Linked DNA regions of Diceros bicornis minor. The protein of the gene in region 4 purifies or fractionates together with the protein of the main gene of each other region. This does not show direct contact. Links are inferred from orthologs where the notes say so. Each region holds a gene or a part of one and is shown on either strand. Other genes may lie near its edges. The genes, in order: CDC26, ANAPC7, NEK2 and ANAPC2.

Evidence for each region.
Region 1: the proteins of ANAPC2 (region 4) and CDC26 purify together in Homo sapiens (co-immunoprecipitation; 7 studies listed by BioGRID and IntAct, with this or other methods). This does not show direct contact. The link is inferred for Diceros bicornis minor from reciprocal best matches to the Homo sapiens genes ANAPC2 and CDC26.
Region 2: the proteins of ANAPC2 (region 4) and ANAPC7 fractionate together in Homo sapiens (co-fractionation; 6 studies listed by BioGRID and IntAct, with this or other methods). This does not show direct contact. The link is inferred for Diceros bicornis minor from reciprocal best matches to the Homo sapiens genes ANAPC2 and ANAPC7.
Region 3: the proteins of ANAPC2 (region 4) and NEK2 purify together in Homo sapiens (affinity purification with mass spectrometry; 4 studies listed by BioGRID and IntAct, with this or other methods). This does not show direct contact. The link is inferred for Diceros bicornis minor from reciprocal best matches to the Homo sapiens genes ANAPC2 and NEK2.

What each region holds. Positions count from the first base shown.
Region 1 is NC_080767.1:21,525,533-21,532,736, forward strand, and holds the start of CDC26 (anaphase-promoting complex subunit CDC26), read right to left. Parts: upstream 3,010-7,204; 5' UTR 2,904-3,009; intron 269-2,903; 5' UTR 228-268; coding exon 147-227; intron 1-146. Other genes in the region: PRPF4 (U4/U6 small nuclear ribonucleoprotein Prp4), read left to right, coding at 3,102-3,149, 4,001-4,181, 5,880-6,066. UniProt on the Homo sapiens protein: Component of the anaphase promoting complex/cyclosome (APC/C), a cell cycle-regulated E3 ubiquitin ligase that controls progression through mitosis and the G1 phase of the cell cycle.
Region 2 is NC_080774.1:8,943,829-8,951,147, forward strand, and holds the start of ANAPC7 (anaphase-promoting complex subunit 7), read right to left. Parts: upstream 3,016-7,319; 5' UTR 2,948-3,015; coding exon 2,847-2,947; intron 1-2,846. UniProt on the Homo sapiens protein: Component of the anaphase promoting complex/cyclosome (APC/C), a cell cycle-regulated E3 ubiquitin ligase that controls progression through mitosis and the G1 phase of the cell cycle.
Region 3 is NC_080743.1:77,451,084-77,458,709, forward strand, and holds the start of NEK2 (serine/threonine-protein kinase Nek2), read right to left. Parts: upstream 3,013-7,626; 5' UTR 2,938-3,012; coding exon 2,842-2,937; intron 2,005-2,841; coding exon 1,787-2,004; intron 1,498-1,786; coding exon 1,257-1,497; intron 1-1,256. UniProt on the Homo sapiens protein: Protein kinase which is involved in the control of centrosome separation and bipolar spindle formation in mitotic cells and chromatin condensation in meiotic cells.
Region 4 is NC_080767.1:43,716,756-43,724,411, forward strand, and holds the start of ANAPC2 (anaphase-promoting complex subunit 2), read right to left. Parts: upstream 3,013-7,656; coding exon 2,899-3,012; intron 2,618-2,898; coding exon 1,995-2,617; intron 930-1,994; coding exon 797-929; intron 1-796. Other genes in the region: microtubule nucleation factor SSNA1, read left to right, coding at 3,202-3,325, 3,770-3,969, 4,399-4,509; TPRN (taperin), read right to left, coding at 6,833-6,895, 7,002-7,108, 7,205-7,490. UniProt on the Homo sapiens protein: Together with the RING-H2 protein ANAPC11, constitutes the catalytic component of the anaphase promoting complex/cyclosome (APC/C), a cell cycle-regulated E3 ubiquitin ligase that controls progression through mitosis and the G1 phase of the cell cycle.

The DNA.
Region 1 (7,204 bases), about 22 Mb from region 4:
CGGCAGCCACAGGAAACTAATACATTAAGTTTGAGAGGCTGTAAAGCGTCCAAATAGAGATTTCAAATAAGCTGCTGGTACAAGAGTCTGGAGTTCAAAAGTTGGAGTTTTAAATATTCCTAAGGGTTTGAAAGTTGTGCTCTTACCTCCAGGTCCTTTCGAATGCTCTCAAACTCCTCAATGTCATCAAGCTTCAGCTCCAGGCGGGTTGGTTTTCGTCGCAGCATGTTGAAATCAACATCAAAGGCCAGACCCAGTGAACTATTAGCTGTTAAAAAGGCAGAGAGAAGGAAAAACTGGAGGGGATAAATCTCAGCTGCAAATGTAAGATCAGTTTGTACGCATGCTTGCTAAAATGAATGGCAATAAAAAAGATTCATTTGGGGCCGGCCTGGTGGCGTAGCCCTTGAGTGCGAATGCTCTGCTGCGGCAGCCCGGGGTTCGGACCCGGGCCACACCGACGCACCGCTTGTCAAGCCATGCGGTGGCGGCGTCCCATATAAAGTAGAGGAACATGGGCATGGACATTAGCCCAGGGCCAGTCTTCCTCAGCAAAAAGAGGAGGATTGGCAGATGTTAGCTCAGGGCTGATCTTCCTCACAAAAAAAAAAAAAGATTCATTTGGATTCACACATAGACTTCTAAGACTTTTGGTGTATGATTATTACATTTTTATTACATGATTGAGATCCACAACTTTGTAATTCCAAAAAACTCTTTCTTCAAGAACTTAAAACGCCAAACTACCTATAAAAGAGAATTCTAGGTAACAATCACTTTAATCTCATGCTCCTGTCACATTCAGAGAAATATTCTAGCTAAGAGAATAAAGTTAAAAGATCACATCTTAATTCAGTATAGTCAGTGGGAGAGTATATAAGCCATTAAATTTGATCAACACTACATGAGAATTGTGAGAGATTTGTGATCACCCCCAAATGCTAAAATAAATTTACTAAATCTCACGAAAACTCCCTCTAACTCACCAATTCACAGAGTTGTCCTAAGGATCTAATTAGGTCCTAAATGGATATGTCATTCATTAAACAAACAATTCTTGTGCTCCAGCTACAGAGTTAAAAGGCACAGTCACAGTCAGTGGGGAAAACAAACACATAAACAGAAAATTGCAACACAGTGTAATAAAACTCTGGCAAGGGTAACGCAATGGCACCAAACAGGCACCAATCCAGTCTGGGCTGAGTGTGAGATGGACAGGAATGTGGAGGGCTTCCTGGAAGAGATGATGTCTTAGTTGACTGGTTAAGGACAGACAGAGTAAAGAGATTAAGGGCATTCCAGGCAGAGAGAACAAATACGCAAAGAGGCTCAAGAGAACCCTCCAGAGCTTGAAAACCCTAGGTAATGCTTATGCTAACAAAAAACATTTTTTTGAGAAGAAAATAAAACTCCCCAACTGAGTTTAAAATCTGTGGATTGCATCTTCATATTCTCCACAGCATCCAGTAGAGTGTATCTATAATCACCAGTCAGTAAACGTTTTGTTGAATAAACTGAGATCCAATTAAAGTGAAATGAACTTTTCTTCAGCACTGTGCTATGCTTTTCCATTCCCATTCTTTACATTTTTATTTTAACATAGAAACTGTGACACCAACAAAATTACCCCTATTTTACAGATGACGTCGAAGCTGTTCAGTTTGGTTAATAAATGTCAGCCTCCTATAAAAATTATACATACGTTCCACGGTGAGGATTGATGTAAGATGATTGATGTAACTGACTAATGTAATGAGAATGATGTAAGTGAAAGCTCCTTTAAAGTTTTTACAGACATAAATTATTATTACATGTATCCAGGATGTATCAAGGACTGTGAAATATACAAAGGAAGAAATGTTTCCTTCTCCCACGAAGCTTAGGTGATATTATCAGATAAATACAGGTGATATTATCAACCCAAAACACCAGCACATTACATTTCAAATTGCTTTACATTAAATCAGATAATATCTTGATTCCAGTGTAGGCAAGTGGTAGAGGGAGCCAAAGTTCGAGGGGGGCGGTGGGAGCGGTGGATGCGTAAAAGAAAGAAAAAACTGCTTTGCATTTTAACTCTTCGGCAAACTGTGAAAAATTCTATGAAGCAATATAGAGTAATGGGTACAAGTGCTCTCTAGAGGCAAAAGGGCAGAGGGCAGAGGTTCTAATCCCATCCACCACTTATCACAAACAATTAGCTTCATCCTTCACTGGATTTTAGTTTCTGTAACCGTACTCTGTTGTTGTATGGATTCAATGACGTAATGCAAAGTAAGTTCCAGGAACATAACTTGGCATTTAGTAAACGCTCAATAAATAACAGCCATTATTATTGTAATTGTCCTTGGGCGTAGGGGCGGGGAGGGGCTCTGTCAGCTCGGGAAACACCAACATTTTAAGCATCTCCACCCTCGCCATGGGGGCAAAAGCCTCGTCTTGTTCATCTCTGATGCCCCAGCACGCAGCGGAAGGCAGGGCCATGCAGAGTTGCTTGCGTGCAGATTACCTGACGCCTCACATCCATCATCTCACTCTGAATCTGATACAAAGACTGGGCTGAAGACAAACAACAAAATCAGGCCCTGGCTCCTCCGCCGGGTCTTTATTCTACTTTGGAGCTAGAGTGCTCTTCGAGCTGTTTCTCTCGCCACTGCTCGAATTCATCCAGCTCAGAGGGAGCCCCTGGCAGAGGACTTCCCGACAGCGGAGAACGAGCACAGCTCTCCTTCCGCAGCTCCAGGGCAGCACCCGGGGTCCAGGGTGACGGTTTCCATGGCAACAGGGACCTCCGCTCCAGGATGACGTAAAGCCGCGCGTCGGGCCGGGAGGGACCGCAGGCCCCGGAAGCCCTAGATTCGCTCCCGAGTTCAGCCCGGAGCCGCGCGCCTCGACGCACCTACCTCTTTTCAAGGCTGCTCAGCCCCTTCCCAGAACCTCGGCGCCCACTACGACTCTTCTGCCAGGCCAGCTGGACTACACTTCCCAGACTACTCTCAACCTCTCTCCTCGCAGAACCTCGTCCTCCGCGTGCTTTCCTCGGAGGACTACAAGCCACGCCTCTCGACGCGCCCAGAATCTGTCCTACTACGACTCCCGTCATGCTCCACGCCGCCCACGATGCTGCGCCGGCTGTCGGCCCACTTCCGGTAGGTGACGCAGTTCCGCTTTGCTGGGCGCGCGGTGGACGGTCTGAAACGTAGAGGTCGAGTTTCGCTGGGGCTTCGCGGCTCCAGAGCTCGGCATGGCTTCCTCACGAGCCTCCTCCACGGTACAGAGCTCAGCTCACTCTGGCAGGGAGCGCCGAGGGGTGGGGAGTCCAGCGGGATGGGGCCGTTAGGGAACGGGCTAGGCGGTGGAGGTGTGAGGAGGAGCAGCGTGTTCCCGATCCCTCAGCGCTTTCATGCGCTTTAGCTTATTTGCATCACTCGCTACACCCGCGAACGGTAAATATCTCTTCCCACGGGTCCAAAAACGCAGCTCTGAAAGGGAGGACGTAGTGCCTTGGCCGAGATGTATGTCCGTGTCAGACCTCTTAATTGTAATGAGGCCTTCTTTCTTCCTATCTACAGCCTGACGTCTGAAAACGTTTGAAGTGTATAGACCAGCATCTTTGTAACTTGTTTCCCCCTTACATCGCCTTGGCTATTTCAGTTATCCTTGATATTTCCCCTGTGATGAGCAATAACCCTGGAAGTGTCGTAAAACCGCAGAAGACATTGCACTTCCAACAGAATGAAGTAAACGTGTTTAAAAGCAAACCTTTGATAGGAAAATCACCAAGAGAAATGCACGAGTATCCTCAACTTCTTCCTGTCTGCAAAACTTAAGTGATTGAGAAACACCCCCCTCAATCAGTGAAAACGCATCTTAAGGTGTCCAACTTGTCGTTTCCGTTCGGGAAGAAATAGGACTGACGCTCAGGATGAGCCTCATCCTTTGGGGAAGGCCGGTAAATTGCTAAGGTGAAGCCTTAGGTTAATCCAGGTCTTTGATTTAGCAGGCGACCAAAACTAAGGCACCTGATGACTTAGTCGCTCCTGTTGTGAAGAAGCCACACATCTATTATGGAAGTTTGGAAGAGAAGGAGAGGGAGCGTCTGGCCAAAGGAGAGTCTGGGATTTTGGGAAAAGAAGGACTTAAAGCAGGAATTGAAGCAGGAAATATTAACATAACCTCTGGTAAGATGCAAATTGTGAGTCCATGTTTACCTTTGGTGCTCAACTTTTCTGTAATGAATACCTTCCTAAACTTAGATATCACTAGTTTTATAGTGTCATAAAATTGCAGTTTTAAACTTGCATCTGTGTAAGGTTTTACTTTGCCTACCCCGCTTATCATCATCCAGAACGCCTTTTTCTTAAAACCTTTTATACAGTTTTTCTTCCGTGAATTGTTAGTAATTTTGTCAGGAGTTTATTCAGCGTGTATTTGGCTTCAAAGTGATTCCGTTTGTCTTCTGGAGATCTAGCATAGTTCTGGCATTGGTTTGGAGCTACTGTCGTTCATAATATTCTCCGTTTTTTTAGTTTTGCAATTACTTTTCCCTCAAAATGAAATGTTTTTTAAATTATATAAGTAATAGTTATTTTTATTTTGAAAAATATCAAACAATGTAGAATTGTGAAGTATAAAATCCTGTAATGCTTATTAATTGGGTGTATATCTTTCTGAGAATTTAATAAAGCTATGAAAATGTATAATTTTTTTCCATAAATGAAACCATGATATACAAATAGTTTTGTAACTTGTATTTTATACTCTATGTACTATTGAGGATATCTTTCCATGTCAGTAACTGGTGGCCTACTGTATTTTTAAAATAAAATTATACATGTTTGTCATAAATTCAGACAGTACAGAATGGTATAAAATGAAAAGATTTCTTTGCAGAAAGGATCTCTTTCAGGTTTCTCATTGATCCTCCTACACATTTTCTTTTCTATACACATGCACTTTACAGACATTTTTAACCATTTATGCTGTTTTTAAACATAACTGCATCACCGCTGTTCTTCTCATTTTTCATCCAAATGCTTGTATTTGGTGTGAGTTTTAAAACTAGCTGCTAGAGGGGCCGGCCCCGTGACTTAGCGGTTAAGTGCTCGCGCTCCGCTACTGACGGCCCGCATTCAGATCTCGGGTGCGCACCGACGCACTGCTTGTCCAGCCATGCTGAGGCAGCGTCACACATGCAGCAACTAGAAGGATGTGCAAGTATGACATACAACTGTCTACTGGGGCTTTGGGGAGAAAAAGGGAGAAAAAGGAGGGGGAATGGCGATAGGTGTTAGCTCAGGACCAGTCTTCCTCAGCAAAAAAGAGGAGGATTGGCGTGGATGTTAGCTCAGGGCTGATCTTCCTCACAAAAAAAAAAAAAAAAAACCAGCTGCTAGATTATCCAAAAAGCCTTCGAGTCAAGGAATATCATTTTCATGGTAATTCTTTCTAGTTTACTAGTTTCATTTGTAAGTGTCCCGATACTGGGACTGTTTTAGAGAATAGCTTTGGCAATTGTTAAAACCGCATTTCTATTTTATCTTCTGGATAGAAGAGCCATTTAACTCATTTGCTAAAGATGCTCCGTACTCTTTCTCATCTCATGTAAGCTGTGTGTTTATATGGGTGTAAGGTTGCCAAATCAAACAACATGACTTGAACCATTTTCCTGCCTCTTAAAGCTGTATCATTTAATTTTCTGTGTTTGGCATAATTTAATAAACTGAGAAAGAGTAAACTATATCTATAAAGTGCTTAATAGATTAGACAGTTGACTTTCCCTAGTAGCATACACAGACTCTAATTGTGAGAAATTATTTCTTTTCCTCTATTTGAAGAAGATCTGGTGATTATGCTGATGTTTCCTGTTCTTTTTATAGGAGAAGTGTTTGAAATTGAAGAGCACATCAGTGAGCGACAGGCTGAAGTATTAGCCGAGTTTGAGAGAAGGAAGCGAGCCCGGCAAATCAACGTTTCCACAGATGACTCGGAGGTCAAGGCTTGCCTTCGGGCCTTGGGGGAGCCCATCACGCTTTTCGGAGAGGGTCCTGCTGAAAGAAGAGAAAGGTGCCCTTTCTAGATATTTACTCTTTTCTTTTTTTTTTTTTTTTGTGAGGAAGATCAGCCCTGAGCTAACATCCATGCCAATCCTCCTCTTTTTGCTGAGGAAGACCGGCCCTGAGCTAACACCTATTGCCAATCCTCCTCCTTTTTTTCCCTTTTTCTCCCCAAAGCCCCAGTAGATAGTTGCATGTCATAGTTGCACATCTTTCTAGTTGCTGTATGTGGGGCGCTGCCATAGCACGGCCGGACAAGCGGTGCATCGGTGCGTGCCCGGGATCCGAACCCGGGCCGCCAGCAGCAGAGCGCGCACACCTAACCGCTAAGCCACGGGGCCAGCCCCTACTCTTTTCTTTTTTAACCACAGGGTTCTAGTCCCAAATTTCAGTTGGTAATGTAGCTAAAACTTTAATAGAATGTCTCAGACAATGTTAACAGAATAGTTTAGCCCATAATCTGAGCCTTAAGCCAGTTTTTACTCTGCTACTAATTTGTCTTTATAAACTGTGAAGAAGGCGTTAACATGCTCCTTCCCCTCCCCAGTGTGGAATTTTGAGTTGGGTAAATGTTTGTTGAACTTTGAAAATTTAGACAACAAAGGCATTTCTTGTCAATGACGTAAAACATAGTGAGAAGTGTTTTTTGGATATTGTTGAAAAGGGCACTGTCCTCAGATAACGCTCCTCTTGTGATTTTAAAATTGCAGAATCTCTTTTTTTTTAAAGATTTTATTTATTTATTTTTGTTCCCCCCAAAGCCCCAGTAGATAGTTGTATGTCATAGCTGCACATCCTTCTAGTTGCTGTGTGTGGGACGCGGCCTCAGCATGGCCAGAGAAGCGGTGCGTCGGTGCGCGCCCGGGATCCGAACCTGGGCCGCCAGCAGCGGAGCGCGCACACCCAACCGCTAAGCCACGGGGCCGGGACCTCCAATGTGTCTTCTTTTCTCTGCCTCCATTGCTTTCACATTTAGACTGTTGTAATAGCTCCAAATGTGTTGTCTTGATTGCTTACTTAAAATCCTGCAGTGTCATCGTCTTTTATTTGGAGTAAAAAGCTCCTAATCCTGCTCTTCAGCCTCATCTTGTGCTACTCTTCCCCAGTTTACAAGGCTTAGTAGCCACAGTGGTCCTCCTGGAATGCGC
Region 2 (7,319 bases), on a different chromosome or scaffold from region 4:
GGAAAATTTATCTCCTTGAGTCTCAGGGGCTTAAGGACAGTGTAAGGAACCAATACGTTTCACAACTTTTTCTTTAACCTTGAATATTGTTCACAAGTGTTATAACTGCCTAGAAGCTGGCCACTATTCTTAATGGAAAATCCATTTTTAATCTCTGACCCACCCCTCCCCCACTTCTTCTCAAATTGAGTAGTTTACACGTTTTTGACAGGTAAAAGCTACAGCCGCTTAAAATGAAAAAACAGTCAGAGTTACAGAACTCTGCAGACAGTTAATTTCTCAACAAATGAAAGATATTCAAGAACAGGTACTATAGTTGCCAGGGCCTGGGGAAAGCAGAATTGGGGAGTGACTACTAACAGATACCAGCTTTCTTTTTGGGGTAATAAAAATGTTTTGGAATAGACAGTGGTAATGGCTGCACAACTCTGAATATACTTAAAACCACAGAAATGTATTTTCTAAAAGGGTGAATTTGACAGTATGTGAATTTTATCTTAAAAAAAAGAAAGGATAGGTAGGCTAAACACGGGATATAAAGTTACAAAGGAAAGTCAAGGACAAAGGTATAGTCCAGAGAGTTAAGATCTCTTCCAACTCTGAGATTCTATGTACTTAGTGAGAAATAAGATTGGATAGAAAATATTACTACACTCAGAGAAAGCATTCAGATATTTATATATTGTAACATACATGCCTACTTATGCATGCATAAGTCATCTCTGGAATGATACATAAGAAACTGTTAATAGGGTCAGCCCGGTGGCTTAGAGGTTAAGTGCGCGCGCTCCGCTGCTGGCAGCCTGGGTTCGGATCCCGGGCGCGCACCGACGCACTGCTTCTCCGGCCATGCTGAGGCCGCATCCCACATACAGCAACCAGAAGGATGTACAGCTATGACAGACAACTATCTACTGGGGCTTTGGGGGAAAAATAAATAAATAAAATCTTTAAAAAAAAAAAAAAGAAACTGTTAATAGTTGTTGCCTTTGGAGAAGTGAAATGGTGGGGTGAGGGTCAAAACTCAGGGACAGACACTTATCTGCATACCCCTTTTGCACTGTTTGAATTTTTTTTACCATGTATATTGCCAATTTAATTTAAAATATTAATGATAAAGGTCAGAATTTAAATGCCTCCTAAAGCTAGGAAACCGCCAGTTTAACCTATTATGAAGAAGCATGGGCTAACTAAGTCTAGTCCGAGGATCAAACTGCTTCTAACTACCCTGTAACATCTTCCGGAACTAAGAGTAATGACTAACTGGTGTATAAATTTCCAATGGTGGAAACTGTGTGCCTTGACAAATCACTCAGAACCAAGTGAAAGACTCCAGAACAAACACAGACGGCTGACAGAGACCAGGGCTCCTCACTGTCAACACTAAATGAATGGTGGCAAAATGACGGGTCTCAAGTAGCAAGGCCCAAAAGCACAGTAATGGAAATGAAATCGGGAGCAGTGGCTGCATCGCAGGCACTTGAGGGGCTTTTCCTTTCTAACCTAGACAGCTTCTAGAGCAAGCCAAATGCAATGGGTCCACCTTGGGTAGGAGATTCAGTTATAATGCCACTGAGAGGCAGTAAACTGCGGTGGGTCAGAATAGAGACTTTCTAAAGTCAGAAGGACCAAAATGCAGACATCGTGGCTCCTCCACTTACTAGATGTGTGTGAAATCAGAAACAGTATTTCACCTCCCTAAGGTTGTATGCACTTCCTTAGCACATTCAAAAAACGTACGAATGCTTATTGCACAGGCACTGTGCTGACTTCATGAGGTGTTACGAGTCACGCAGAATATATGTTTTAAAAGCTCTCATCATAATAAAAAAAAAATTGTAACTGTGTGATGATGGACGTGAACTAGACATTGCGGTAATCATTTCCCAATACACACAAATATCCAAACAATGTTATACATCGATTACATCTCAATTAGAAAAAGAGTGATGCAGAAAATAAAACAGGGCAAAGGGATACATAGTGAGGGGAAGGGACAATTCTGATAGAGAAGAGCTCTCGAGGAAGGATATCTGAGCTGAAACCTGAACGAGGAGGCAGCTCGGAGGGGAGGACTCCAAGCAGAAGAGCCAATGCAAAAGCCCTGAGCTGAGAACGAGCTCGGTGCGTTCCAGCAAGAGAAAGAGGCAGGGAGGCTGGAGTACAGCGAGCAGAGCAGACGAGATGAAGTCGGGGAGAAAGATGCTCGGCCTCTAAGCCATGGGAAGGAACTTTAATTTAAACAGAATGGAGACACTGAAGCACGGCTGCGACAGGCACTCCAGGCTGCACACGGCCCTGTGCTTCCTCCGTCATAAGACTCAATAGACGGCAGCGCGAAAAACAGAAAAGGGGCCCTGCGAGTCCTTAGAAAGGCACCACTCCCACCCAGCCAGGGAGCCCCCCGTTTGCCGAGGAGAAAGTGAACTCTCCTGATACACTCAAGGAGAAAGAGCAATCTCGGGTGGGGGACGAAGGTATAAAACCAGGGGCCGGGAAGGGAAGAGTCGGCCCAGCGATGTGACAGTCGCTATGCCCGGCGACAGGGGCCTCGGGAAACCCTCGCCAGGGTCGCCCTCGGAGCCTCCGCCTTCCGTCTCTCCAAGCCGCCGCTCGCCACATCCCCCGCAGGGAGCGCATCCCAGCGCCCGGCACAACGCGGGGACCCGGCGACCTCAACTTGCGCTCCTGAGCCGGCTCCGCCCGACGAGGCCCTGGCTGACCCCGGAGCTTCAGCTGGGGCCCGCGGCCGCTCCTTCCCGCCACTCCCCGGGCCCCCTCGGCCCCCGCTCCCAAGCCGGCGCCGCTGTCTCCTCAGCCCCAGGCCGCTCCCCGCCTCCACTCACGGGTTATTATTACTCATGGTAAGTAACAAGCTGCTGAGGAGCCGCACGTTGGAGTGCAGCCCCGCGGCCGCCATGTCTCGCACGTGGTCTATCACATTCATCCCGCCCGGCAAGGCCGAGGGCAGCGGCGGCAGCGGCGCGGAGAGCCGGTAGACGCTCCTCAGAGAAGACTCCAAAATGGCGGCCTCGCCGGGGTCCATCGGGCCCACATGCGGCACCGCCCCCAGGAAAATAGGCAACTACTGAAGTGCCTGAATAGAAGAAGAAGAAAAAAAAGAAAAAAAACAAAACTTCTTCCCCCAAGCCCCCTGTGAGGTGGAATGATTTGGTTTTCGGGACTATTGTTTTTGCTTTTGTTTCGTTCTGTTAGCAAAAGTTGCATCATCATTCTAAGCTGCAGACTTTACTGAGGGCTTACAATGGGCTGAGGACAAAAGGCACCTCAGTATGAATATATGCTCAATTGAAATGAGTCTGAGAGGAATCTGTGTCTCCCAGAAGTTAATAAAAATATATGGACAGTTATAAATAAAAGTATAGTAGGGTGCGGGCGGGAAAAATCTCCAACAGCTGGAATTAAATATTTTAATCAGGCGCCAGGGGCAGTCCTAACTGCTTTCAAGTCGCTCTGGCGCACCTGGCTGAAGGTGCCACGCCCCCTCCTCTCAGGTATTGTGTGTACCTGTGGGAGTCAGGCTTCACCTTTGGAGGGACGCCTTGGGTGCAAAAAAGACATGTTTTTACCCTGTGAAATGACTCACTAACTCAGAGTGAATAAAGGCTAGGTTGAGTTTTAGCCATCCTAATATGTGTGTAGTGTTGTTTTAATTTGCAATTCCGTGATGACATATGACGTTGAACGTCTTCTCATAGGCCTATTTGCCATCTGTATCTCTTCTTTGGTGAGGTGTCTGTTTAGATCCTTTGCCCATTTTTCAATCCGGTTGTTGGTGTTCTTACTGTTGGGTTTTAAGTGTTCTTTGCGTATTTTGGATAACAGTCCTTTATCAGATATGTGTTTTACAAATATTTTTTCTGTCTGTAGCTTTTTTTCTCATTCTCTTGACCACTCTCTCTCTTTTACAAAAAACCTACTTTCGGTAATAATCCTGAAATGAAATGACTAATAATAATGGCCAGAAAAGAAACAGCGAAAATATCATTTTCTTAAACTTCATCTAAATAATGATGCCAGTAAAAATTTTAATGAAAAATAAAACAAATATTACAGTACAAAAAGATAACGGATTAGGGCCAGCCCCATGGCTTAGCGGTTAAGTGCACGCGCTCCGCTACTGGCAGCCTGGGTTCGGATCTGGGGGCGCACCGACGCACCGCTTCTCCAGCCATGCTGAGGCCGCGGCCCACATACAGCAACTAGAAGGATGTGCAGCTATGACATACAATAATCTACTGGGGCTTTGGGTGAAAATAAATAAATAAATAAATAAAAATCTTTAAAAAAAAAACTGATCATCTTTGCATATTCATCTTCAATAGGCAGCATAAACAGATTTGTCAATCGTTGGAGCACAGCCATGAAAAGACATGGAGGAAACTTAGCATATTACTAACTGAAATGAAGCCAATCTGAAAAGGCTACATACCGTATGATTTCAACTATTTGACATTCTGGAAAAGATGAAACTGGAGACAGTAAAAAGGTCAGTGGTTGCCAGGAGGTAGAGGGGAGGGAGGAATAGCGGAGCACAGAGGATTTTTAGGGCAGTGGAACTATTCTATATGATACTATAATGGTGGATACATGTCATACATTTGTCAAAACGCATAGAATGTACAACACGGAGAGAACCTAACAGAAACTATGGACTTGGGTGATAATGATGTGTCAGTGTAGGTTCATCAGTTGTAACAAATGTATCACACTGGTGTGGGATGTTGGTAGTGGGGGAGACTGTGCATGTGCGGGGGCAGGGGGTTTATGGGAACTCTTTGCATCTTCTGCTCAATTTTGCTCTGAACCTAAAACTGCTCTAAAAAATAAAGTTTACTAAAAAAAAAAAGAAAGAAAGAAAGAAAAAGGGGAAGGAGGTATAAAAATTGACCTGCTCTGGGTGTCAAACATGCTGTGTATACCGCTGTATCTAACACACTTGGAACAGTGGCTGACACAGAGTAAACACTAACTACATAAATGCTTGCTATCATACTTTTTTCTACATTCAAAATATTTCCTAATGAAAACCACATCTAACAATAGCCAAAAAGTGAAAACAATTCAAATATTCACCAGCTGATGACTATATAAACCAAATGTGGTATATCCATACAGTGTAATTCTATTCAGCAAAAAATAAAAAAAAGAACAAACTTCTGATAACATGGATGAATTTCAAAATTATTATGCTAAAAATAATGCTAGGTGAAAAAAAACAGACGGAAAAAAATCACAATCTCTGACTCCATTTATATGAAACATTCAGGAAAGACAAACTGATAGCAACAAAAAGATTAGTGGTTGCTTGATGGTGAGGGTGGGAAGCGGGAGTGACTGCAAATGAGCAAGAGGGATCTTTTTAGGGTAGATGGAAATGTTCTAAAACTGGATTGTGGTAATTGCTGCACAACTCTAAATTCACTAAGAAATCATTGAATTGTACACTTAAATGGGTGAATTTTAAAGATTTTATTTATTTATGTATTTTCCCCCCAAAGCCCCAGCAGATAGTTGTATGTCATAGCTGCACATCCTTCTAGTTGCTGTATGTGGGACAGGGCCTCAGCATGGCCAGAGAAGCAGCGTGTCGGCGGGTGCCCGGGATCCGAACCCGGGCCGCCAGCAGCGGAGCGCGTGCACTCAACCGCTAAGCCACGGGGCCGGCCCAAAATGGGTGAATTTTATATACCTCAATAAAACCATTAAAAAAATAAACACATCTTTAAGCCACGTGACTCATGAGTCTCCAATTTACCTTCTCCAAGCTACACTGTAATTGCAAAATATAGTTAGGTTTATATCTGGATTGACATCTTACTGTAAAGTCACATATCCACTGATCCTGGAATAAACCAACATTCATAGATTCAAGAAACATTTTTAGGGGCCGGCCCCGTGGCTTAGCGGTTAAGTGCGTGCACTCCACTACTGGCGGCCTGGGTTTGGATCCCGCGCAGTCACCAACCCACCGCTTCTCCGGCCATGCTGAGGCGGCATGCCACATACAGCAACTAGAAGAATGTGCAACTATGACATACAACTATCTAGTGGTGCTTTGGGGAGAAAAAGGGGAAAAAAAGGAGGAGGATTGGCAATAGATCTTAGCTCAGGGCTGGTCTTCCTCAGCAAAAAAAAAAAAAAGAAAGAAACATTTTTAGTTGAAATTGCCATACCTTCTCCTAAAAAGTGATTCATCTCTCCTTTAATGCCTCGATTCTCTGAATGGGAATTATAGTTTGGACAATTCGTTTGATAACTAATGACTTCATTGCCCTATATGCCTCTCCTTCACCATACTTAAATCTGTGATTGTTAATTAACTTTTCTCATCTCTGTACACCTTGTCTCACGAGGGGGCAGAGTGAGTGGGACGCTTCTTTGCATTCCTGACAGGTCTACACCCACCTGGATGACTGGAAACTAACGAGACAGAGGGCCTATCTGTCTTGCACACCATTCTGTGGTCTGTGCCTGGCACATAGTAGGTGTTAACAAATATTCAATAATGGATGAAGAAGAAGCATGAGTCAATGACCTCATCACATAGCTCATTTAATTAAAAGAGTTAAGATATTGATGGTATAAAAAATGCTTTATAAATCATGAAACACTAGACGAACATAATAAATCATTATAATGAGACATTCATTGTTAATTGGTTTCTCCTCTCCTTTCAGCTGCTTCACTGTACATTCATTCAACATATGTTTATTATGCACCTACTGTGTGCCAGAAATTATTCTAGACCATGGGGATATAGCAGGGAACAAAACAAACAAAAATCCATGTTCTTTTAGAGCTGACATTCCAATGAGGGGAGATAAACAACAAATAAGTAATACAAATAGTATAGAAGGTGATAAAATATACTGAAGTATTTATGGAAGAAACAATGTCTAGGATTTACTTTAAAATATTCCTTGAAGTGGGAGCAGATGAAACAAAGTTAGCAAAATGTTGATATCAACTGAAGCTAACTGGCAGGTCCCTGGGAGTTCATTATGCTGTTCTTTCAACTTTTGTGCATTAAATTTTCCATATGTGTTTTTTTTTAAGATGCTTAAAAGGTAAAGAAGAGGGAGTGTTGGGGTGGGGGCTGCCATTTTAAATCATGATCAAGGAAGGCTGCACTGAAAAGGTGACAAATGAGTAAAGACCTGAAGGAGGGCAAGAGGGAGCCATGGAGAAATCTAGAGGGAGAGGGTCCCAAGCAAAGGAAACAGCAAGCTTGGAGGCCTAAAGCAGGAGTGGGCCTGGCATGTTAGAGGAAGAGTGAGGAGGTCAGTGGGGCTGGA
Region 3 (7,626 bases), on a different chromosome or scaffold from region 4:
TGCTTTGGGGGAAAAAAATAAATAAATAAGTAAATAAAAATTTATAATAAAAATAAAAATAAAGTACAACAGGTGAGTCCGAGACCACTTCCTGACAATCAATGCCTTAGGGAAGGCTGAACTGATCTAATTACAAGGGCAGGAGGGAAAAGGAACAAAAGAATTGCACAGGTTTCAAATTTTCCAAGAACTACTTCTGGATAATTTTCCTTTATGTTAAAGGCTTTCTATTTGCAACTTGATCTGGCAAGAAAATGACACTCTTCTGGCCATGTCTAATCTTAGTCAAAAACAAAATCATTAATTTACAAAGCTTTATACTATAGTCAGATCAGTTAATATAACCAAAAAAGATTTAGAATATCCTAGAAATGTTTGTGAACTCTTAAAAAAATTAATAAATATCTCTCCATCTTTATCTGCTCAGATTTCATCTACAGCACACTGGTGCTATCACTTATTGATTCAAGCTTTTTAAAAGCCATCAAGCGATATCTAGAGAGTCATAAACAGTTCATACCCTTTGACCCAGCAATTTCATTTTGAGACCTATACCCCAAGGAAATAACCAAAAAGGAAGAAAGGATAATTTATACAAAGATATGCATAGCAGTGCTCCTTAGAATGGTGAGAAATTTTGGAAACAAAATATCTAGCAATAGAGGAAACAAATAAGTAAAGTGGGTGGTCTCTGCACCTCCACTGTAGGAAAAGTCAAGAAAAAAAGAACAAGTACAGAAAGTTAACACCGTAAAAACATGTTATCTGAAGTGAGTGAGCCTCTTGAGCCCTGAATCTCCATGCACAAGAATCATCTACAGTCTGTTAAAATATGGAGTCCAAAATAAAAGGGGGGGAGGGCAGAATGCAAGGACCTGTCCAGAGACCCAAATTCACTGGATTTGGGGCCCAGGACTCTGCATTTTAAACAAATATTCCAAACAAGTAAAAGCTGGTGTCCAGGACTTATGGCACTTTGAGAAACACTGCTGTTGAGAGCAAAGACAAAACCTAGGTCATCATTGTAACCCCAGAGGTGAGCACCTGGTAGTCACTCAATAAAAGCTTACCTGAATTGCTGATACAGAGGAGTTTAATGGTCTGGTGGTCCATTTGGAAAATACAAATTTAAAAGGAAATAGTATTATTAATTCTTGGCTATTGGATATTACTAAACAAACACAAAGCTCAATTTCTCTGCATTTGAATGCTTGCATGAAGATGTTAAAAAAGTATCTAAATTCTGAGATACTTACAGGAGACATGTAATAAGGTGTGCCAACAAATGTTTTTGCAAAACTCGTATCATGGTTTAATATTCTAGCTAGCCCAAAGTCTCCAAGCTTAACGTTTTGCTTGCCATCCAGGAAAACATTGGCTGGTTTCAGGTCCCGATGCAGCACAGTATGACCACCATCGCTTCGTCTGTGACATTCTTTTAGGGCCAGAGTCAGCTGAGTCATCACTCGAAGAACAAACTCTTCATCTAAGTATTGTCTGAAATCAAAGCAGTTATATAGCATATAACTTCTGAATAAAACCATTACAAAGATGGGATGATATGAATTATCTAGTTTTCAAAGTGTAGAAGTAGGGAAATAAATTATTTTGATATGAAATATGGGTGTTGATTCACCAAGGATTTTCTAAAGTACTGTGGACTCATCAAACAAATACAAGCACACTCTTCCACATTACTAAGTACTTCATTCCTGACCCTAAAACAGGATGCTTAAAGAAATGAAACTAGGCCCATTTTCAGGTTATATTTAAAAGATTAATTTACCTTTCCTTGGTTCCCTTCATAATTACACTAGCCAGGTCTCCTCCTTCGCAATATTCCATTACAATGTACAGTGTTGTGTTGGTTCGGTCAATAATTCGATCGTAGTAACGGACAATGTTTGGATGTTTCAGTTCACGAAGCAAATTCACTTCAGAAACAAGCATTTGTTTCTCAGCTTCTGTCATAGAGCCATAGTCAAGTTCTTTCCAAACTAATATCTGAAATAAGAATTTCCAAGGTATAAATGAACGTTCCAAAATTTAAAATTTTTAAAAATTACTTGCCTATTAAATAGATCATACAGTCATTATCATCTAATTTCATTCAATGAACTTAAGGACCCCTGAGTTTATTTTCATAATCTTCCTCTAATTTTTAAGCAGTAAATGGTGCAATAGGAGAGAGAGGGATGAGAGACATTAGGCCTCCCTCAACCCCCTACCCTCACTTGTTTTGTGGGAGGTTGGCAAAAAGTACTTTGGTCAAGGCTGGAGCGGAGGTAGTCCAAGTTCCTGATCATCCCAACCAGTCAAGTTTTTCCAGGGTGAGAGACCTTACTAAAGATCCCTCCAGCAGCAGCTAGGCAGTTTCCTCTCATCGTTTCTTGTATTGTTTCTCATTGTATAAGGTCTACCTACACACACTGGGAAATATGAATCAATAACCAGAATAATGGGTATTTTAAATGAGTCTGACTGCAAGACATAAAGCTCCAGGTTCTGGGGGCCCCGCCCCTTTCTCTCGTCTGAGAGGGCTACTCTTCTCTAAAAATAGCTCAGAAGTCAGCTACCTGTCACCAATGGAAGGCCCTCAGCAGGTCAAAGCAGGAAAAAGGAAGGAAATGGAAGAGAAAGGAAAAAAGACGGTAAAAATATGCTATATCAAAAAATACAGTCTCCCGTTCCTTGAGCGACCCAGGACAGACGCAGGCCTGGGGAAGATGGCTGACTCTTGCAGGCACCCTGCTTTCGAGATCCACAAGCCCAGGCCTCTCGCTTCCCTTCGGCGGCGGCGGGCGCAGCAGGGGCGGAGACAGGGCAGGGGCCCGCGCTCACCTTGCCGTCGCTCTTCCTCCGGATCTTCTGGCAGCGGCCGTAGGACCCCGTGCCGATGGTGTACAGCACCTCATAGTCCTCCGCCCGAGTCGGCATGGCCGGGCCGGCCGCACGACTCCTGCAGGTCGCGATGCAGGCACCTAGCTGCAGCCACCGACTCCGGGACCCCTCCGAACCCCACTGCCCCGCAGCTCCAGTGTCCACCCCCGTTTAACCGTCGCGGGCCCTGGACTCGCAGTCTATTGGCCCGCGGTCAGGTCGCTTCTCCTCTCTGATTGGCTAAGGAGAACACAACACCATGGGCATCTTGGGAAAAGCCTATCGCTAGGCAACCGCGTCGGTGTCGGCGTCTGCTTTCAACCTCTAGGGAGAAAGGGGCGGAGCCAAATCAAAGGCAGGGAGGGAGGTAGAAAGCGGCAGCAGGTGGGTGCCCGCGGCTCTATTCCTCTGGCTGAGGTGTAACCAAAGTCCAGAGATCTTTCCTCAGACTTCTTTGCACACTGCCTCAACCAACTACCTTCTGACCGTTGCACTCTGACCCCTCACACTACCCACTGTTCTCTCGCAGCTTCCTGTACCCTGAGCCTGGGCGGGGTCACGCGGAAGACTTGGTGAGAGTGAAGTACAGAGATCAAAAGTGCAGTCCCTCTCTAAAGGATGCGCGGATGAGTGCTGGCTCTGGTGCGGGGGTGTGCCAAGCACTTTGCGTGTCTTGTCTCGTTTATTTCTCAACACAAACCTATAACGGAGGAAGTAGTGTTATCATTTCCCATGAGGAAATGGAAGCACAGAAAGGTTAAATTATTTGCTTTAGGTCCAACGTCCGGGAAGAGAAGAATCAATGTGAAAACAGTGGTTACTCATGGTAATGATTTAAAGTTCACACACGACGTCAGAGTGCAGTCACCATAGACTATTTTTTTACTGAGATATAATCGACATACAATCTTATATTAGTTTCAAGTGTACAACGTAGTGATTTGACATTTTCACATAGGGACTATATTTTTGAACACCAAATTTAGAGGCCTGTTCAAATGCAGAGGATGTGTACAAAACCTCAGGGTAGAATATGGAAGTCCCTGATGTTTTGGAATACCCAGAGAATATGATGGCTCTAAGGCAGAGACAGTCAGGGACCTTTAAGACTCCTACAAAAAAAAATTTTATTAGAAAAGACTACCAAATAGGGTAGTTGGGATGCTGGATGCTGGACACATATTTAACTGACAATACTTCATTGAACGCAGCCTCTTCTGGGCACCCACAGAAACCAACATTTTCAGCTCACCCAGCCAAATGGAACATTCTCATTTTTAGCTGGGAGAGGGGACCTGGAGGCCCCTGGGTGGGGCTGGATGGTGGAATATGTGTATTACCTGAAGGCTAATAACTTGGCAATGCATAAGTAGGTCAATTTTCTTTAAATATCTGTTCAGCATGGGACTGAAAGGAACTTGATTTTCTATTAATAAGAATTACAGTGGCCGGCCCTGCGGCTTATGGGTTGAGTGCGTGCGCTCCGCTACTGGCGGCCCGGGGTTCGCATCCTGGGCGCGCACCAATGCACCGCTTCTCTGGCCATGCTGAGGCCGCATCCCACATTCAGCAACTAGAAGGATGTGCAGCTATGACATACAACTATCTAACTGGGGCTTTGGGGAAAGAAAAAAAGGAGGAGGATTGGCAATAGATGTTAGCTCAGAGCTGGTCTTCCTCAGCAAAAAGAGGAGGATTAGCATGGATGTTAGCTCAGGGCTGATCTTCCTCACAAAAAAAAAAAAAAAAGAATTACAAACCTCTTTATGTTAAAAATAAGGAATTTATTACATGCACTGAATATAACAATTGAAATCGCCAGCCAGGAGAATTTTTAAAGGAACATTCAAGGGCACTGTCTTACCTCAAGGGAATGTGACCAATTTAGGTTTCAAAAGCTATGTAAGGAGCTACAAGTGGCTGAGTTAATTGGCATTATATTTTTTATTTTAATACATTTTAAAGATGGACATCCGTGGAGCTCTTTGGCTGGCCAGCCCCAAATCCAGTCCCGCATCTTCTCTCGGGCCATTCTTCTGCTCTTTGCCCCAGTTCCCTGAATTCAGCACACTTTCTCAGATGCCCCCTACCACCACTACCACTACCTCCTTTGCACCTGTTATTCCATTGGCTGCAATGCTGTCTGCCTTACTCCCTCATCCACTCCCCCACCCCGATCACATCTGTCTCGAGGACACAAATTGTCTTTCAAGATTCAATGCCAACTTTCTCTCCTGCACTCTAGGAAGCCTTTCCTAGCACACCAGAACAAGCAATTCCTCCATCTACAGTGTTCACAGACCCCTTCATGCATAAATCAACCTTTAACTTGTTATTTGTTTGATGATTTATTTACGTGGGTCTCATAGGAGCTCAGCTCCAAGCTCCTTGTAGCCAGCATAAGTCCTGTAATAAAGGAGACATGCAGTAAATCTTCGTTACATGAAAATATGAGAAAGAAGCTCATTAATAATCATGCGAGGATTTGGAGTGAGCCCTCTGGTACTCATGTTTCAAATGCCCCCAGCCCCATGGCAGAGACTAAATATTGGGGAAAGGGCCACCCCAGGAGTATGGAGAGCAGCTCCTAGGCACATATATTCATTCAACATATATTTATTGAGCATTTACTATGTAGCAGGTATAATGATAGGCATTGGTATGCTGGGTGTTCATTAAAAAAGAGACAGTGGGGCCATGATGACAATGATAAAGAAAAGAGTGACATAGACATGGCGTGACAAACCCTAATGACTTGCAGAGTTAGTCCATATCATTGGGTAGGAGTGAGGGGCGAGACAGCCCAGCAGAGACCACTAGACACCAGAGTATAAAGAGACATTGGTGGCTGAGGAGCATGTGGAAATCAATCAGGAACACTTTACAGAAAACAACCCTTCCGCTGTCACTTCCTCCCTCCTTCCTTCATAGTCTGCCTGTTCGTTAAGACTCAGCTCATGCCCAGTTTCTTCCCTGAAATTTTGCCTGACTGCCTTCAACCCACTGTGATCGCCTAAAAGAACAATTAACTGTGTTCTTTACTCATTTAGAATGTGCCATATACTAGTCTATATTACTAGCTTCTCATGTATATCTACCTTATCTGACATATTAAATCAAAAATTCATCCTTCAATAAATATAAATTGAGGCTCTGCCTGGTGCTGAAGATACCCCAGTGAGCAGGACTGACGCGCAGTCCTGGAGGTGGAGGAGGTAGATGGACACAAGCACGCAGAGAAATTCAGCCGTTACAAATTGCGGTGAGAATTCAGAAAACAAACAAAGAACTGAGACAGAAACTGAAGATTACATTTAAACAGAGAAGTAAGAGATGAGCAGTTCCATGAGGGTGGGGCCAAGGCTTGAGCATCTCTGTAACCACTCTCCCGCGCCCAGGGTCTAATTCACTGTCTGCACAATTTTCTTGTTAAATGTGCTCATGTTGTCAGTTTTCGTTTAAATTTGGTGAAATCCCAAATGAAGAGATTATTGACACTCTGTCTGTGTTTTCTGCTCACAAGTGCTCTACAGATGTTCCCAGACACCAACTAATTTTTAAAAGAAGAAACTTGGAAGACTAATGGGCATCTCCAACTTACCCTGTCCAAAATCAAGCTCCTGATTTTTGCCCCAGACTTATTCTACTGGCTGTCTTCTTCATCTTAAGTGACGAATGCATATGCTTTTGTTTACTGCAGTATGTCCAGCACCTAAAACCTGCCTGGAACATGGTAGGCACTCAATTAACATTTGTACATTGAATGAACGAATGGAGGAAGCCATACCTCATTGCCCTCAGCTTCCTTTTTATGTTACATTAATGACCCACTAGGGGGTTGTACATCACTGCATAACAAACAAGGAGACAGTACATCCACCCGTCCACCCTCAGAGGCCTGTCCTTACAGGAAACTCCGAGATTTGCATATTGAGCATTTCAAATTTCAGACAAGATATTCTGTGTGTCTTATCTCCACAATTACTTGGAGCAATTTGAAGTCAGGGATTATGGAAATTTTTTAAAGTAATCAATAAGGATTTCTAGAAAGAAAAAAAAGGAGACATTCTTTGTTCATAATAATCAGAAGCTAAAACATGTTAAAGAAAGGTGCATGACATAGTATGTCAATAAATAAGCATGTTCTAGAAGAAAGAATGAGGTTTTATGGAGCCTGGCCCTAATAGCGACACACCACTTGATATAAACAGAAGGACAAGATGCAAACAAAGAGACAGCTTTGGATTTAATGGCAGGCAGCTGATGGAAGAATATGATGAGAAGAAATTTATCTTTGAAACAGAATAGTGTTTAGTTCTGAACTTCACCACATTTCAAAGAAGGATAGTGTCAAACTTGCACCCAAGGGTACAAGTTAGGGCAAGGCTGACTTCTGTTCAATACAAGGAAAAACTTTCAGACGGAGAGAGCCATTCACAAATTTTACATAGCTTCTCACGATATTTGTGAGAAGTTATCTCTAAGAATATTGTTATCTCTAAGAATATTGATAATATAAATTGGTTAAGAAGAATGTTAAAACTAGTCACGGATGCTGAGGCCATAACGTGTTCCTAAGGGACTTTAGGAGCTTTTAGAGAACGCTCCCAATTTTCCCTTCAGGGGGCAGCACAGTGAAATTGTAGGAACAGTGGGTGCAAGGTCTAGGAACCCAGGTTCTTCTAATTCTGTTTTGATGAGCTGTGTGACCTAGGGAATCCAGTCCAACTCTCTGGGCCCTAGAAA
Region 4 (7,656 bases):
GTGGCGTCCCAGGTCCTCCATCAATGCACCCCCATGCCCCTCCATGTGCCTCAGTGCCCATGCTTATCTCTGGCAACAGTGGCCCTAACGTAGGGCACATAGCAGCTTGTGCTCGCCTCCGCCTGAGTGGACAGACTTGCCCTGAGGCCACATACACGACTGGCCCCCGCCACGTGTAAACAACGTACCATATAGTGAGAACGTTTCTGAGCGCACACACATAAACTTACAGGACATACTGCCACACGAACCCGAAGACACACACGTTCCCCTCATAGACCACCCAACCACTGATGAGACCACCCCAACACTCTGCCACCTGGAGGCAGCACAGCTGCCCCTACCAGGCCTCCAGGCTGCCACCCACTTCAGACCACTCCTGCGGGGAGAGACACTTGCTTTGAATCCCCCATTGTGGTTAATCTGCACCCTCAGAAGGTGGACACTAGGAAACCGAGGAGAACAGGTAGCAAGTGGAAGCAGGCTAGACGGCCGCTGAGGCTGGAGCCAGCTGCTCCATGACTCTGGGGAGCCCAGAGCAGAGCCCCAGACCACACCCAACAGCGTGGGCACTCTGAGGCCCCTCAATGGGACATCTCAGACCTTGGCACTGCCTCTAACCAGGTGATTCTGCACAGACCTCGCCGAGCATGTCACAGGCTTTCCTTGCTGTCTCTAGGGCAGGCCCAGAAGGACTGGCCTCCACACTCTGGCTGCTTCCAAAGCCGGAGTCTCAGGTTTGCCAGAAGCCTATCCCCCATCCCCAGGGATCAGGCTCGAGGAGGGACGTCCTCACCTTGTGGAACTCACGCAGGAAGGAGCGCTCGTACTCGCCCCGGCAGCGGTCCTCCATCCGCTCCCGAGTCACTTGGTGCAGGGTGGTGGTCACGGCCTCAGCACTGACCCGCTCCAGCAGACTGAGCCTATGTCTAGAGAAGAGCCCTGCCCGTGGAACACGCAGAGCACACACACCCCCACCCCCCACACTGGGCACACACCTCTCCAGGGCCCTCCTGGTGGGGGCACAACTGTACCAAGGGTTCTTCCTCAAAGCCGCTGGGATGATGGAGCATGGACAAGCCACTGCCCGCCCTCCCCAGCTGGCATCTCTGCCCAGGCCAGGGCACTGGCCTTCCCCAGGTGAGCAGCGTGTGTGGCTATCAGGGACCAAGGCCTCATCTAGAAACGGCTGTGAAACAACACCCAAATACATCCCTACTCTGGCCACATAAATACAGATACTGCTGTCTTTAAGTGCCTTTCAGCGCATACTCTCGTCTACGATGGCAAACAGATGCAAGAAAAAATGAAAAAGAACTTTTCTGCGTCACTTTCACCTGGGATGAACCCAGCAGAAGCCCTTCAGGGCCTCCCTGACCCCTGCCAGCAACAGTACCACTCCCTGGGTCCAGCTAAAAGTCTCTCCCCAACAGCTGTACTGCTGCCACGCCACTTGAAGTGACAAAATCATCATAAATGGCCACAGAGAGCGTAGGACCCATACAACACAACCTGGTTCTAACGACAATGACAACGACAACAACCTTTCCACTTCAAAGGGCTACAAAGGCAATCGCTTGCCCAGCATGTCAGCCTAATGTCCAACTCTCTCTGGAGAAGAAAAATAACAAGCCCACTTTTTGCAATTACAGGGTAGAACGAACATCATTCCTCCCCTGGAGAGCCTACAGAAAGCACAGCAGAATTCTGCGTGGCCCAGGAAACTTGGAACCACATGAGGTCTCAGCATAAGCAAAGCGTGGAACCCTAGGTTTACCTGAGTGACAGAGAGACACACTTGCGTCCAGAACAAAAGGTATAAACTCACAGCACAGGGATTCTGGGGACCCTCCCCTTGTCATGCCCGTGGCTATCAGGACAGGTGGCAGAGCCCCCAGCCAGCTCACCAGCTCTCTGCAGAGGCCAGCTGGACCCAGGGGAACAAGTGGGACTAAGGAGGAACAGGGCAAGGCCACACAGGCGGGAGTACTCACAGGACCTGGCTGAGCTGGTGGAACTGCTCCAGTGCCTGGCGGCACCAGCACTGCTGCTTGTCGCTGCCACATCCCGCACATAGCGGGCTCTGCAGAAGCCGGTAGTACCGGCGGCGGGCATACCTGCTGTCCAATTCCCCCTCCAGTTCTGGATCTGTGCCCCCTTCCCCTTTCCTCTTACTCTGCATATAGACTCTCAAGAAGCGCCCATACAGGCGCTGGATCATTTCCTGAAAGATTCTGGGAGTGGAAAAGAACAGGACGCCCCGCAACGTGGTGTGGACCTTTTCCCGCAGCCCCTGAGCACCGGTGCCCATCAGCAAGCCCAGGCGAGTCCATTTCTCCAGGAGCTCCAGGCTATGCAGGTAGGGATCCAGGCGGCTCTCCAGCAGGCCAAAAGCGTCAAGGAGCAGCAGAAGGCACTGGGGCTCGTCAGCACAGTTCTCGCGCTGGGAGATGGCATTCCAGAATTCCAGCGAGATGTTGGCCTGCAGGTCGTTCTGCAGCACCTCTACGAACCACTCCTCCAGGACTGAGTGCAGACCGTGGCCCCTCAGCACCTCCACCGCCGCCCGGAGCTCCTCCTCCTTCGGCGGGACCGCACCGCTGGTCCGGGAGGACGCCTGGAGCGCAGACAACCGTGAGGAGAAGGGAACACAGCGAAGAGGTGGGGAAGGCGGTGACGGCTGGGGAGAGGCGGGGAAGGGCCAGATGGAGGGGAGGCTGCGGAAACCCCGCTGCCCCTAGTCCGCGGCGCGCGGATGCCGGGCCGATGCCAGGGAAGGGCTGCGGGAAGCCAAATGAGGAGGGACCGTGGAAGAAGAGGCAGGACAGGGGCCGGCGAGGACGGCGCTGCAGCAACCCGAGGGCGGGCGCCCCAACAAAGCCTCCTCCCGGGCCTCACCAGCCCCAGCGCTGCCGGCGGCACCAGCCCGGTGCTCACGGTATTCCAGGCCACCAGCAGCTCCTGTGAAGGCGCGGGGTCGCCGTGCCCCGGCGCCGCCGCCGCCGCCGCCATCTGCGTCCACCCGCTCCCACAGCCGCCCGGCGCGACGCCCGGCGGTGAGGGAGGGCTGGGCGCGCAGGGAGATGACGCACACGAGGCGCGCGGCAGTGACGTACGGTGGGCGCGCCGTCGGGAGGCAGTGCGCAGGCGCGGGCAGGATGCGGTAGCGGCGGTTGGCGCGGCCGAGCCTGGGCGGCGACCATGACCGAGGAGGGCGCGGAGCCCTTGACCGAGGAGGGCGCGGCGACCATGACCGAGGAGGGCGCGGCGACCATGACCGAGCAGGGCGCGGCGATGCAGGACTACAACAACCAGCTGATCAAGGGTGAGCGGCCGCGCGGCGGGCCCGCTGAGCCCCGGGAGGGCGCGGGGCTCGCCCCTGCCGGCCCAGGCGCGATGGCCCGCAGCGCGTGGCCAGTGCGTGGGTGTCCGGCCGGACCGCGCGGAGGCCATGCGGATCTTCCCAGCGCGCGGCCACAGTGTGGCATCGCCGAGGACCGGATATCTATGGAGCGAGCAGGAGGATGAGGGGCTTGAGCATGCGCTGGCCCCTGCCCTACCCCCCGCCCCCGTCCCCGGCTGTCTCGTGCGGTGCCTTCTTTAACCCTTAGACCCCGGAGGTGGACACTGGCCGGGCTCAGGCGGAAGGTGGCACCCCCGCCCGCCACCACTCGTCTCTGCTACAAAGCTGTGGGCTGCAGACTGGGAGGGGTGATGCTCTCCTTCCTGCCCTGGGTCCACAGCGCCTGCCCCTCCCCGCCCACCCTAGGCATGGAGGTCCTGTGCCAGAGGCGGAACAAGTTGTGCCGGCAGATCCAGAAGGAGGAGAAGGAGAAGCAGCGGCTGCATAATCAGTTGAGGCGGTTGACAGAGAAGCTGGCCCTAGTCAACGAGAATCTGGCATGCAAGATCGCCTCTTACAAAGAGCTTGACCGGACCATCACAGAGTCTGAGGCTGCCTTCTTCAAGGTAGGGCTCGCGGAGTCCCCAGGCGGTTTTTGGCCTAGGGACACCCACAAGCAGAGGTGATAGGACTCCGGTGTGGCCGGGCCCACTGTGGAGTGACAGCCCGGCCGTCGGTGGGGCCTGGTGCGTCCTGAGTTCTGTTCTTTGCACCCTAAGTGGTACCATGAGCAGCACAGGGGAAGCAGCAGAGTAGCAGCAGGGGCTAGGGCTCACCTGGTGTGGCTTTCCCAGGGTGCGAGGAAGGGGCTTTGGGCTAGACTCGGAGGGAAAAGTGCCCTACTGACCCTGTCCGCCCGTCCCCTCAGGGGCTTCCTTTTGGCAGCTCCTGTCCCGTAGCCCCCACAGCCTGGCCCTGGCACCATGTGTGAGGGGGGCTGGGCTGCAGGAGTTTTCTGACAGAAGGAACCGTCTCATGCCTGTTTCTGTTCCCAGATCCTGGAGAGCTCACAGGCTCTGCTTAGTGTTGTGAAGAGGGAAGCCGGGAACCTGAGCAAAGTCATGGCCTCAGAGCAGGAGATCATTGAAGAGAAGGACAGTTCATGAAGCCACAGGTGGAGAGGGGCCTGTCTCCACTGCAGCCATTAATGGTTTGGCCCCTAGCAAGTCTGTCTTCACAGTGTCTGTTTTTCATGACAGGAGGTAACTTCTTTCACTGTCTCAGGTGCCAAGGGAGGCAGCTGCCAGCCTCCATTGGCCCTGAGTGACAAGAAAAGCCCTGGGCGCAGCCCACCAGGTGGGAGTCCTGGCCCTGTGCTCACTCAGGCTACAGGGAGGGCGAGCTCGGGGCCAGCTCCACTTGGGGCCTCTCTGAGGTCCCCATACTCCCCTCGGCTGTAGGTAAGGCCCTGGTTAGGGGAGTTCCTTCACCTTGTCCCTTGGCCAGCAGGTGCCCAGGCCTGGTGAGTGGGGGAGGGGCTGGGCCCCTCCTTCACCTTAGAGCTTGTCCTTGTGGTCTGTGACTGTCAATAAAGGTTGTCTTTGTAAAGATCCATGCCAGCCTGCTGCCTGTGTCAGGATTACGGGGCTGCCGGATACTCCCAGAGCCAGAACACGAGCCCCTGCCCAGCTATTGCGTAGCTCCTCTGTGAGGGAGAGGTTAGAGTATAGCCTGGAGTGGCTTTCCCTGTGACCAGCCTTGCTGGCCTTGGGGACAAAGCTGAGAGTGACCCTGAGGATCTCCCATGACCCTCATCGCCCACCCTCTCCGCACCGGGGCCACTGGCCCCCTCCCCGACTCCAGCACACAGCTCATCCCCTACTGAGGGGCTCTGCCTGCTGGTCCTAGTCTCTGCCACACCCTGGTGTCCAGCACAAGGCCTGGCCCAGGGAGACGCCTTTCCTGGGCTCAGGTCCCCCACCAAGGATTGCGCCCTAGCTCCATGATTCTAAACTCTGCTCACCGCGACGGCACCACTGCTTCTTGCCTTCACTGGCCACACACCAAGCGTGCCCACTTTCAGCTTTCCATGTCGCCTGGGGCCCAGCCCTCCAGCCCGAGTCCTCTCTGGGTCTGTCTCTGTTGGCCTGTCAGCCCTGCTGGGGTCCCTGCAGCCCAGGGTGGGCTGAACTGATTTGGGAAGCATGTTGCTGGAAAGTCTGGAGAGACTTGGGCCCACCTCTCCCAAGAAAACACCCCCAAAACACCGTCATCCTTCCCAAGCCGGGCTAGGTGGCAATTATGATGGGCTTGACTCTCTAGGACGGAGAGACTCTCATTCGAAGCATTGATCGTAAACAGCCCCGACTCCAGCTTGCGGCTGCACAGGCAGCCAAGTATGTCTGAGGCAGCAGCCCAGCCAGGAGCTGTTCCCTAGCGGGCAGCTGTGTGTAACACCTCAGATCTGTCGGGTTCTCCTGCCACCTGCTAGCACTGACCCCAGGGGAGCAGCCTGCCTGCCACAGCCTTGCTGCAGGCTCCCATGGGTCAGGGAGCTTTCCAAGCCAAACAGGAGGCAAGATCCCTGAGGCTCTGCCCACTCCCTGCCCTGCCCTTCATCCCCTCCCAGGCTTTTGGCCCTTCAGACCCGACAGCTGCAGCAGTCCCACCCCTGCTGCCTAGAGTGCCTGGGAAGTTTCAGACCCCAAAGAGCAGGCCTGGTGTCCCACCTCCCACCGTAGCTGCCCCTGTGCCAGCCCTGGTGGGGAGGGGGCTGCTCCACAGATGGGGGCAGGCACAGGGAGGTCCTTCTCCCAGGGGAGGGGGTGGCTGGGAGGGGAAGCCAGACAACTGGGCCTGTGGGGAGCAAGAGCCTGAACCACTAGGACTGGGATGCCACCCAGGGCCCCTCCCATACCCAGGCAGACATCCATGCTGGGCCCCATCACACCCTATGTGGCTTCTGGCAGGCTGCCAACACCTCAATGGAGCCCCAGAGACCCCACCCCTGTGCCCCCTTCTCAGGCCGAGGACCATGCAAGGAAGGCAGAGGCAGTTCGTCCAGTGCTATTTATTGAGTCCATCATCAGAGGCGAGAAAAGACTTGCCATTCATCACAAAGGGGGTGGGCTGAGCTCCACCGTGGGGGTGTAGGCTGGGGAGGCTTGGAGTCCTGCAGAGGACAGGCAGCCAGGCCAGCCCTTCGCCTGGGACACACTTGGCAGCTGCTGGGCACAGCGTCCGCCAGGACCCCGTCCCTCCTCAACAGGCAGTGCCCCAAACCAGGGCCAGAGAGCGAGACCCAGACAGCCCCAAGAGAAAAAGGAGCCCCAGGTGCCCCAGCCTCAGGCCCTGAGTACCAGCATGGCTGTGAGGTCCTAGGAAGGGAGGGTGTGACATGGAGGGCAGAGCCTGGCAGGGCAGAAGAGGGGTGCAGAATGAGGGCGGAGCTCCCAGGGCTCTGCCTTGGCCATCCTGGCAGGGCCGGGGTCAGAAATAGAGGGCTGGCTCGCTGCGGAAGTCCGAGAGGTCTTTCTGACTGGCGGGGGTGAGCTAAGAGAGGGGCACAGAGGCAGCCAATGGGGCTCATCCAGGCCTTAGAGACAGCCCCCACCCCAGCCCTGCACCCTGTGCGTCCACCCACCCTGCCCCCACTCACCATGACCTCCTTCGGCACAGGCTCCACCTCGCTGGGAGCCGGCTCCAGCGTCTGCTCCTGCCACTTACTGAAGGCCAAGGAATGCTTTGGAGTATAGCTGGACAAGCCTGCGGGCCGAGGGGCACACGCGTGGACGTGTGGGTGCGTGGACATGTGGCCCAGGCTACCCACTGGGCCACCTATCCCGACAGCTGGACACTTACCTGAGCTGCTGTCTAGCAGCCGAGGGCTCTCGGGCCCCACACTGTTCACGAACGTGGCTCGGGGCAGGAAGAGTGCAAAGGGCTTCTCCACCACCTCCTCTGCGCCAGACGCCTCCGCCGCCTCCTCCGCCTCCGCCTCCTCCGCCTCCGCCTCCTCCTCCTCCTCCTCCTCCTCTTCCTCCTCCTCCCCCTCCTCTGCTTCCGCCTCTGCCTCCTGCACCAGGGAGCTTTCAGAAGGGTACTCGAATGTGGTCTGCAGGCTCTTGTCGTTGAAGGAGATCTTCATCTAGGAGCAAGAGGCACATCAGCAAAGGCCCTGCTGCCCAGCCACCAGGGGTCCTCCAGCCAGACCAAGCTGGTGCACTGACCCTCAGGGGCACGGTGAAGGGTGTCAGACCCGAGCAGGTAGCAGAACACACTATAGGCCCTTCAGAGGCTCTGAGAGGTCAGGG